Linked DNA regions of Zea mays. The protein of the gene in region 2 binds, or shares a complex with, the protein of the main gene of each other region. Links are inferred from orthologs where the notes say so. Each region holds a gene or a part of one and is shown on either strand. Other genes may lie near its edges.

What was found.
Region 1: THO complex subunit 5B-like (region 2) and THO complex subunit 1-like share a complex: the UniProt entries of both Arabidopsis thaliana proteins name them as parts of the THO complex. The link is inferred for Zea mays from reciprocal best matches to the Arabidopsis thaliana genes THO5 and THO1.

Annotation. Positions count from the first base shown.
Region 1 is NC_050096.1:2,948,588-2,953,745, reverse strand, and holds the start of THO complex subunit 1-like, read right to left. Parts: upstream 3,094-5,158; 5' UTR 2,827-3,093; coding exon 2,698-2,826; intron 2,261-2,697; coding exon 2,177-2,260; intron 2,000-2,176; coding exon 1,925-1,999; intron 1,610-1,924; coding exon 1,519-1,609; intron 1,382-1,518; coding exon 1,236-1,381; intron 1,137-1,235; coding exon 1,065-1,136; intron 1-1,064. UniProt on the Arabidopsis thaliana protein: Acts as a component of the THO subcomplex of the TREX complex which is thought to couple mRNA transcription, processing and nuclear export. Contributes to the integrity of the endogenous trans-acting small interfering RNA (ta-siRNA) pathway.
Region 2 is NC_050100.1:218,468,777-218,473,562, reverse strand, and holds the end of THO complex subunit 5B-like, read right to left. Parts: intron 4,014-4,786; coding exon of another isoform or gene 4,011-4,013; coding exon 3,679-4,010; intron 3,544-3,678; coding exon of another isoform or gene 3,454-3,543; coding exon 3,206-3,453; intron 2,866-3,205; coding exon 2,286-2,865; intron 2,205-2,285; coding exon 2,091-2,204; intron 2,008-2,090; coding exon 1,753-2,007; 3' UTR 1,034-1,752; downstream 1-1,033. UniProt on the Arabidopsis thaliana protein: Acts as a component of the THO subcomplex of the TREX complex which is thought to couple mRNA transcription, processing and nuclear export.

The sequences.
Region 1 (5,158 bases), on a different chromosome or scaffold from region 2:
GAGGCACTCTCCACTGCCACGTTTCTCCTCAATCGGCGTCCATGCCGCGCTACTGGCTCCACAACTCCCCACCAGCTCCTTTTCGGCACGCCGCCATCCTACGACGACCTGCGTGTCTTCGGGTGTTGGTTGTTCAGGAACAAAGGTGTCGGAGTCAGAGGAGGAAGAATGGCCGTCCATGGCGTGTGGAAGAGGGGCAGAGGAGGGATCGAGAGGTTGAAGAAAGTGAGAGCAGCGGTGAGCTGAAGTCACTGGGGCCTGGTGAATGATACCATGAAAGAGGTGAATTGGATCAACGCATAACTTGTATTAATCTCAAGTGATCTATTTATACACGTACAGAAGGCGGTGGCCGAACCTAACGGATCACAGCTGATCGGCCATGCACCTAGAGAATCGGCAGAGGCCGTTACATGAACAAGAGACTCGGTCCTAGCTGTTACAACTGGATAGACTCGTTGACACTTCTTATATGGAATACCGGGAGGGCGGTCTTTCCCTCCCCGGCCGAGTTTTTTAAATGACACGGTAGGACAAGTTAAAAGACCAGTGGTGCATTTCTCTCCAGCCAAAAAGAAGTGCTGGAAAACTCCAAGTCTCCAATACATTCGAAGGGTGATAATTGAAGGTGTTCGGTAGGTTAAAAGAACCATGGGTTCATGAGGTTCAAGATTTTGGTGATACAGTACAATCAACCATTTAGATTATAGCCAAGATTATCAGCAATACTTAACACACTTTGCAGTTCAGTTTTTGATTAATCCGTTTAATAGACAAGGTTACTAGGAACTGAGCCGATCTCAGTTGGTGCGCAAGGTGCAGGTTCATGTCCTCTTTAACTTTCAATTTGGGTGTCCATTTCTTCGTACTGGCAATGCCACATAGTTCATATCAGGTCTTTTTTGGGGGGTTAGGGTAGGGGATTTTTTTTTACATACGAGATTAACTAAGGTAAATCAGCTGGCCAACAAAATAGCCATTTAGCCAAGCTGAAATGTGGGAACAACAGCAAATATAATTTATAAACTTCAAAGGGTGGGCACAGCAGAACAACTGAATCTAACCTTCGATAGTCTGCGAAGAAGTTGGTTGCAAGTCCTTAGCATAACTAGTTTGCCACGTCCAAAAAGTTCTTGCTACAAACAACCCAAAACGATAATCAGTCAACAACGTTACAAGCATGCATCTTCTCTATTTAACCAGAACTAACCAAACGAAATAGGGATCAAAATTACCTTCCCCAATACATCTTGCTGGCTCTCAATATACCCAAAGATATCTTTGCAGTCTTTGATTGTTGACATTTCAGTTAGGTCTTCTAACAGCTGGAATACCATACCACCTTCAACATGCCCTCTTTCGCAAAGGTAAAGCACAATATCTATCATGGAAGAGCATTGGTTTCTCAGAACAGAAAATAATACTACACATGCACCAAATAGTGCTCAGAAGGTGATGGCATAAGTCCTTAGATAGGAACAGATTCGAACATAGAATGTTGGAAGAAGTGTAACTGACCAAGAAGGCGAGTTATCAGGCAGTTACTTTCTCCGCTATCCAAAGAATTCCCGTACTGCATAATCTTTTTATCCGATTGGACCGCAGATGACTAAGAATAAAAAATATAAAACAGAATCAGCAATCAATTTTGGTTCCTAAGATGGCAAATGAACTATACACCTGCTGACCTGCACTTTTCATATAAAACAGAATCAGCAATCAATGTAATTTTCTAGGACTGAAATAAAAAAAATACAGCCACGTCTTCCGTTTTATTTTAGAAATCGTCATTAAAACTCTGCTACTCTGAAACATAGTATTCCTAACGATGCAGTGACCAGAACAATGCACGCGCCAACAACACTCCCTAACCACCTTATCATCAAGTGAGATCAAAGAACAGTGTAGCCACATGGAAAGTTACCACAAGCTCCTGCAGCAAAGTTCGAAGAGCATTTTCCAAGGACTGATTCTCCTCTAGAACCAACACGGTTTCCTTCTGTGAAATGAGATATGTGTGTCAAATCAGATGATTAACTGAACTAAAAGACAAGTCGAATCAGATAGGTATTACCCAAAACACAAGCAAATAAAATAGAGGAAAATAATAACATGAACCACTGACGGTTCATCATCAAATCAAGACTCACAAGCATGCCAGATTCAACGTACATACCTGAGGTTTAATTGCTTCCTGAACCGTCTGAAGGGAAAATGTTTCCGGGGGTTCGTTCCTAGACAACGCGCTCCTGAAAACTCCCTGAAAAGAGCAAAGGCCACATTTCACCAAGCGTACACGTGTGGTAGCATGGAGAAACAACTCCCCTAAATTTCCAATGTTCCTTCTCCATCCTCTCACACAACCCCTAATTAGGCCGCTACCAACGGTTTTTCCAACGCCTCTATGGAAGTTCCATGGTGATTTTGCGATCGAAAGTTCCTTTCAAAAAAAAAATTTGCGATCGAAAGTCGAAACAGAAAGAAACGTGATGCATGAAACAAATTGCAACCGTGTGGAGGCACTGGATGGGAGTCCACCAGCACTAGCACTAGCACTAGCACAGTACCACTCGCGGGAAATGGACGAAGACGGGACCCTTCGTGCCACCCAAATCAGGGACAAAGTTTCAAGTTTCTACTATGACTGATTGACCGCGCTAGGGTTCATGAACAGAGTGGGAGGGAGTTTTAGCTCACGATGATGCGGTCGCGGTCGGCGTGGCTGGAGACAGCGGCGGTGGGTGGAGGGGAGGGAGCCGGCCGGTCCTTCGACAGGAGGATACGGAGGCCAGCGTTCGACACCGGAGGCGGCGAGGGCTCGGCCATGGTGGCGTGCGCGGTAAGGCTTACCCGGTTGAGTCTGGGCGATCTACCAGGCGCCTGGAGAGGGTCAGCCTTTGACGCGGTGCCGAACACAAGATAACAGCACTGGGCAAGCTGCGGCGGCGAAAATAGGCTACGATACGAGCACGGAGGGAGGGGAGAGGCTCGCCGTCGCAGAGCAGAAGGAACAGATGCGCCGTGCGCGGCGGCAGACTGGCGAGCCGTCGAGGAGCTCGAGCTGAGGAATGAGGAAGGAGAAACACAAGACAGATGGACCGCGAACCTGGGCTGTGCATGGGCTGCGACCCATAACGGATGTCAAGTGTGAGAGTCCATGTCCATCACGCAAGGAAACAGTACAGACCAAATACTACCTTCCCCGTTGGGCATTTTTTTATTTCTTTTGTTTTTTAAAATCTATATCTATATCTATACACCCATCAGTTTAAACGTTGTAAAATTCACACAACCAAATCACCCTGTTGGCGCCGATCTGGATGCCAACCACTGAAACGAACCACCTGCGCGGTGTGCTCTCTACGGAGGCGCGAACGGTCCGCGGCACAGGGCACAAGAGCGGATCCTCCTATGCAGGCTTTCGGATGTGTCCGCGCCTAGGGCCGGACGGTCCGCAGTGGTGGAGAGGGTCTTCATCTCCGTGGAGAATCCTAGAACTCGCCACGGGAGAGATCCCATCGAGGGGGAGAGTTCCAAGGCGTGCTCTGGGTCGGCAGGCCGCCTGGTGCTCCTCTAATCGGCGTAGAGTCAAAGAAGAGGTTGTTGTGGAAGACTAAACTAGATCTAAACCTAAGGCAAAATTACTCCTACTCCTAGGAATTAGAAGAATGATGCAAATAAGGTAATTGATAAGTAGATTTGATTGGATCGATTGTGAGAGGTTCAATCGGTTGTACCCCTTCATCCAGATAAAAGGTGGAGGTCTAGACCTGTTACAAGTCGGTCATCAAGTTATTCCTACATGCTTTGCTAACAAATCCCGCTAGAAATTCGGAACCCTATCTGATTCTGCGTACGTGTAGACCGTCTGTGTCGCCACCGTGGATAGTTCGGACCGCGGACCATCCGGCCCTAGGGCGGACGGTCCGGGTGTCATTTTTGCTATTCAACATATGCCCCCTTCCTTTTGGTGAAGGTTGACGAACCAAAAGCATATGCACTAAGCCTGATGCAAGTCACCGGCTCTTCGACCTAATAGGGTGATCATTCAATATAACTCTAATGTATAAAGGACGTTTCAGATTGCATCTCTCTCGGCCATGACCATCCGATCAATGGATCAAAAGGTATGGAATGGAGGAGCTCCCAGCCTGAATAGGCAAAGGACTATGTATGTACCATGGGTTCATCGTCACAGGATAACATATCAACGATGAGTAGGCGGGTGGAAAGTATCCTGACATCACTAGAGATGGATGAATAGGCAATGATTGTTGCGCCGCCTTTTGGGTCGTTTTATTCGACCGTTATGTTTTAGCGGATGACTAGGGTTTCTTTGTTGGCCGATCGCGTAGAACACCCTTCTTGCTAGCGTATTTGGATAGCAATTGATTAAATTAGAGTCGGTTTTGACCAGCCGACCATGTGCGTTACATGTGGTTTGCCCTTGCATCCCCTTTGCTTTTTGTGGAGGCTGACACCTCTGGCCATGGGCGGACTATCCGACTGAGTCAGCCGGACCGTCTGCATGAGCACCGGGTCGTCCGCGCGCAGGTGACGGACAGTCTGCAATGTTCGAGTCAGGGAGCTTTACTCGAGTGCTCGATTGAACCAGCCCCTGGTGCCTCCATACTTGTTAGTATTTCTATCCAGAGATTTCCGAGCAATCCCTTCTTGTGATATATTCGACGTGCGAGGATCGCCAATGACGACGTTTTTGCATTTGCCTTTATCGACCACTTCCGGCCGAACCAATACCTTTTTGCTTGCTAGCTCTATTATATTGATAGCAAATGATTACGTGTCCACTTGCAACTAATGAAAACTCAATCGACCCTCATTTACGGCCGATTGTATCTTTCGACGAAAAACATTACAATCATTGGTGGCATGGGAAAAAGAATTATGCCACATATAGTAATCACATCTTTTTAATTCATCTAGAGGAATATTATACGTTAATTTAATGTTGTCATTTTTAGTAACTCGTCAAATATTTTATCGCATTTGGCAACACCAAAAGTAAATTTAACTTTTTCTTACCGTTTTTTTGAACCGGCTGCAAAGAAAAACATGCAGAAGGTTTAGCCTATGTTGGCCAAACAAGTTCAGCGGTATATACATCTGTTGATTCATCAAATGAATTTTCGCGCCCCAC
Region 2 (4,786 bases):
TTATCGGTTATCGATCATATGTTATAATTATGTGAACCAAACGACAACCGAATGTTTTTCACTTGCTTGCTGCCAAGGACAAGTGGTATGATCAGTATTTGAGAGAATAAAATGATGATTTCCCTAATATCACATATAGTTCCGTGTTAATGTGTCACAAAATCTGTGGTCAGATATAGGTCTGCCATGTCCTTATCTATGTCTGGATTGAGACCTGAAGACTTCTTTATAGATGGTTATTCTGAATATGATAGCTGCATGCCCTTTATCCTCTTCTTTTATTTTCCTATTATATACCCCCTTTTCCCATCAGTTTAGGTTCCGAAAACCAAAATGAGCCGAGCAAAGAACAGCTCAATACAGCGAGACTAAGGGCCTGTTTGGTTCACTACCTCAGTTGCCACACTTTGCCTAACTTTTCTGCCTAAGGTTAGTTATTCAATTCGAACGACTAACCTTAGGCAAAGTGTGGCACATTTAGCTACAAACCAAACAGGCTCTAAGTATGGAAACATGCATTTGAGTCCCTGTCTTGTCGCTCTCAATTTTGGTATAACATCATGTATTTATAACTGATGAGACCATCTGTTTCTATAATTTGTGGGTTCGATGACATTATAGGGAAGCCTACAAATAATAATAGCAAAATTGATAATGTTCGCCAGGGGACGAGGCGTTCGGGTCTTCGGGAGCTTCACGGACGCGTATCTCGGCAAGCCCAGCAGGTACTTCAGGTTCGTGTACTGCAACGACATGGTGCCGAGGGTGCCATACGACGACAACGCGCTTCAGTTCAAGCACTTCTGCCTCTACTTCGACAGCCTCTACAAAGGATAACGCGTAGTAACACCGTTGTATTTATTTATGACTTCTTCACTAACTTCCTATATATGCTTATATTTGGACAGAAAATTGAATTGGTCGTTATATATTTTTTAATATATATATATATATATATATATATATATATATATATATATATATATATATATATATATATATATATTATTTTCTACTTTTGATAGTAACTTTTGATAGCACCATGCTGCTGAGTTACTTCCTCCATACGTTCAGACATTCCCATGGCTGGAAAACGCAAATTACATTCAAACGATTACTTGCATCATGTGGGACATAAATCTCATCTTTCTGTCCAGTGTTTTTGGAAGAGCAAAAGCTACTGCACCCACAGCGTTACTCAAATGTAGAATTAACAAATGATTGATACCGTAAGCCATTTACCTCATAGCTGTCGGCCAACCATAGGCGATTGAGATAACTAAGGTTGGTTAAAAGCTGGGTCCTCCAACATCTTCATCCGGGTAAGCAAGCTCTGTTTATTGCAAAAGAATGCTGCAAGCTTCCAGGATTTAACTGCGGTTGGAAATGTTCTGGGTAGATCCAGGATACCAATTTGAACAACCAAGAAAATAGGAACTAGCAGAAAGGCTTCTTGAAACATATAGCACAATATTCATGCAGTAAAAGCCTTGTGGTGATTAACTGCACCTATAGCTTTTCTTCCTGGGCATATAAAAGTGTAGTTACCATCAGCATTGTAAATAGTTTCTCGAGTCAGTATGGGCACAGAGAAATCTTCCCAGCTATTGCTGTCAAGACACAGTAGTGATAAACAAGGGGATCTGTGTCAGCTCTTAAGTTATATATGCAGTTCTCCAATGCCCAGAAATGATTTCTCCAGAGGGTAGTCAATGCTGAACTCAACCAAGACCAATCAAGATCGCACATACTCTACAAGTAACTGGAAGAGCAATCAGCACCTCTCCAATAAATAGTTTGCCTTCTGTCTCTACCCCTAACCGATCTAGTAAGCATAGTTCCACTAACAGGTTTGCAAAGACCAACATCGATCACTGAAGTGACTTTTCTTTTCTCGTTTTCCTCATCAAAATGCATGTCAAACAGCATAGCCAGGCACATAACTTGGTGAGTCAATATATAATCCTCATATGATAGAGGTATGCTTCGAAGGATGTGAAGATTTACCTGCACAGCATGATAGTGAGCTTTAAGAGCTACCCTCAGAAATGCACTAAATAAAACATGTTACACGATATGTTAGCACAAACCTCAGCTTCCATTGCACGAAGATCATTGTGCCACTTCAAAATTTCAGACTTTTCTGAGAGCAAACGTAATCTGAAAAGGGGAGGTCTAAGAGGATACTCCATACTTATCTTAACCTGTGATAAGTCTTAATGTCAGAAGCAAGAGCATGGAGAGATGCATGAAGGCTTAGAACAAATAGTGATGACATAGTTTACCTTGGCTTCCAGCATGACTTTTAGACCATTCTTCATAGTTTTACTCAGGACCATGGTGAATTCCTTGGAAGCATACTCCTCCCAGAATCTGTCTCTAATCGGGCTAGTAGCTTTTTCAGTTTCGTCAAGAATGCAGGGCTGGTCCTCCAACTCGCTGTCGCTATACATCAAGAGATCAAGATCGTCCTCATTTCTACCAAAACTTCGTGAGATGCTTAGCTTAGATGGTGTTGCACTCTTTGATATAAGAGATAAGCCTCTAGAATGGCTCCGGATCTCAGCTGACACCTCAGGTTGCAAAATTGTAGAACCATTTGGCTCATTCTCAGCAGGAATAACAACTGGAAGCTCCCCATCCTCCCTGATACTCTCAGTTTCTTCCCAGTTTGTCACAGATCTCTCTACATCACTGTCAACATTGCTTGCAGCACCACTTAGCATCAAAATAGAACGAGATGACTCAGGATAACTTGTCAATGACCAACTATGTAGACTGCACAGTGGGTTGCGTGATGCCCATGGTGCATTCTTATGTTCTATTCGAGGCCACTTCAGCTTTGTCAAATAATCAAGTTGCCACCTGTAATCAAAGAGACTCGAAAACTTCAAAGGGATGCTACCAATCAAACAGGCCATGTATATAACAGTCATGAATAACATTATAATGAAGGTCGCCAATAATTAGCTTTGAATCAATATGTAGAGAACATATGAAGAAGATATAAATGGTATGTTTCACAATTTCTGCCTGGTAAATGATTCATAGTATTGCCATAACTCAGAATGACATGTGCAATGAAGCAAAAGCATCATTAGCTCAAAATCGTCAGTCAAATTACACGGTCACTCTCAGGCTAATCTGCCATCCGGTTTTTTTCATCGATGTCCCAAACAGCAAAAAACATAGACCAGTGACTCACATAAGAGCCATCTGTGCAACTTTCCGCAAGCGGATCCTCTGCAAAATAGTCTGTGCACGGTTCTGCTGACGGTACAGAGCAAGCCCAGATGACAAATCAGCAGTGTTTAATGCTCTGCTAGAATCATCCCCAACAGATGGAGGCACTTCAGGCAAAAAGTCGATACCACCTAAATGTTGTGCCCACTTGTATGGCCTTGAATCCTTGTCGCTGAAGTTTGGAACCTCCCCAACATAAATCTTAGCCATCTGAGAAAATTGACAAGTCACTATTTCAGCTGACGTAAATGAGAGGCCCCAAGAAGATACTAGATACAGATGTAGTAACAAAACATATCCCTGCTAAAATCACATTAAAGGCCTGTGAGGCTGAAATAAACCAAAAACAGGTAGGTACATAAACAAACACCAAAACTTCCATAAGGATGGTGTAACTAGCAATCAAAACCATCTGCTTCGAATTAAATTACATACCTGGTGAGGCAGATCTAAACCAGTGTCATCTGGAAATAGGTTGGACAAGATATTACTGTCCAGACCCTCTGAATCTTCAATTCCGACACAAACAACATTCAACTTTGCCAAGTATTCAAACCTCAGGGTGATGAGTTTACGGCGTTTGCTACCAGAATCTTCAGTATCATATACATGAAGTATAATTTTAAGTGGGTGAAGTTGATAGGCCACTGCTGGATTATTAGCTTCCTTCACCACATTCTTTTTGGATCTTGATCTTCTTCTCTGAGCATCTTCTTCATCATCAATCACATCATCATCCATTCTGTTGTCGCCACTTGAAAGAGTGCCTGCTACAAGATACATATGAGACACACTAATTTCCAAGCCTGCCATGAAGCTTTAAGAACAGAAGATCCAGCAATGGACAAAAGATTACTTATCTCTAGACTCTGGTTTAAAAAGATGAATAATTAAGCAACTATGCACTACAAGAATGCTGTTATCAGTTAGGAATATTAAAATAGACCACAACCTACAGGAAAAGATTGCTATGCAGCAACACTAAACACAAGCTGTTTGGTTTACGTTAAATGTCCCAAAGCACCAAGCCACCAACCTCAACACGGTAACCTAAAGAAAGAATTTATAGAGACTGTACCATCAATCATAGGTTCTTATGAGGACATCATTGATTCTCTACATAAAAACAAGAATAGAGAAACACAGAACAGATAAACACAACTTTGCAAGGACACATAGCTGTGACATATTCCCTACATCTTGTGTTCACAGGCGCTTAAACAATTTTCACCAGGACCTCACAGCCGCAAAAACGCTTCAGTTTCAAGCAGTTGCCAGCTTGCATGCCACACAATATAACTGCATGCATGTGTCGCCATGCTTATTGCAACACGCATGCTCCCACAATGACCAGATTCCCGCCTGCACACCGCTGACTGGGTAAACAAGGAGTTACAATAACTGCATACAGGATTACAGGAAGAGTGGGTGCACGTAAACAGGAAACAACGCATGCAACTGCATGCAAATAGCTATTGCGCCTGTACATGCCGGATACTTTTCCAGACCCAGTACGCATGTGAATACCAGTCCTTCCATTCCC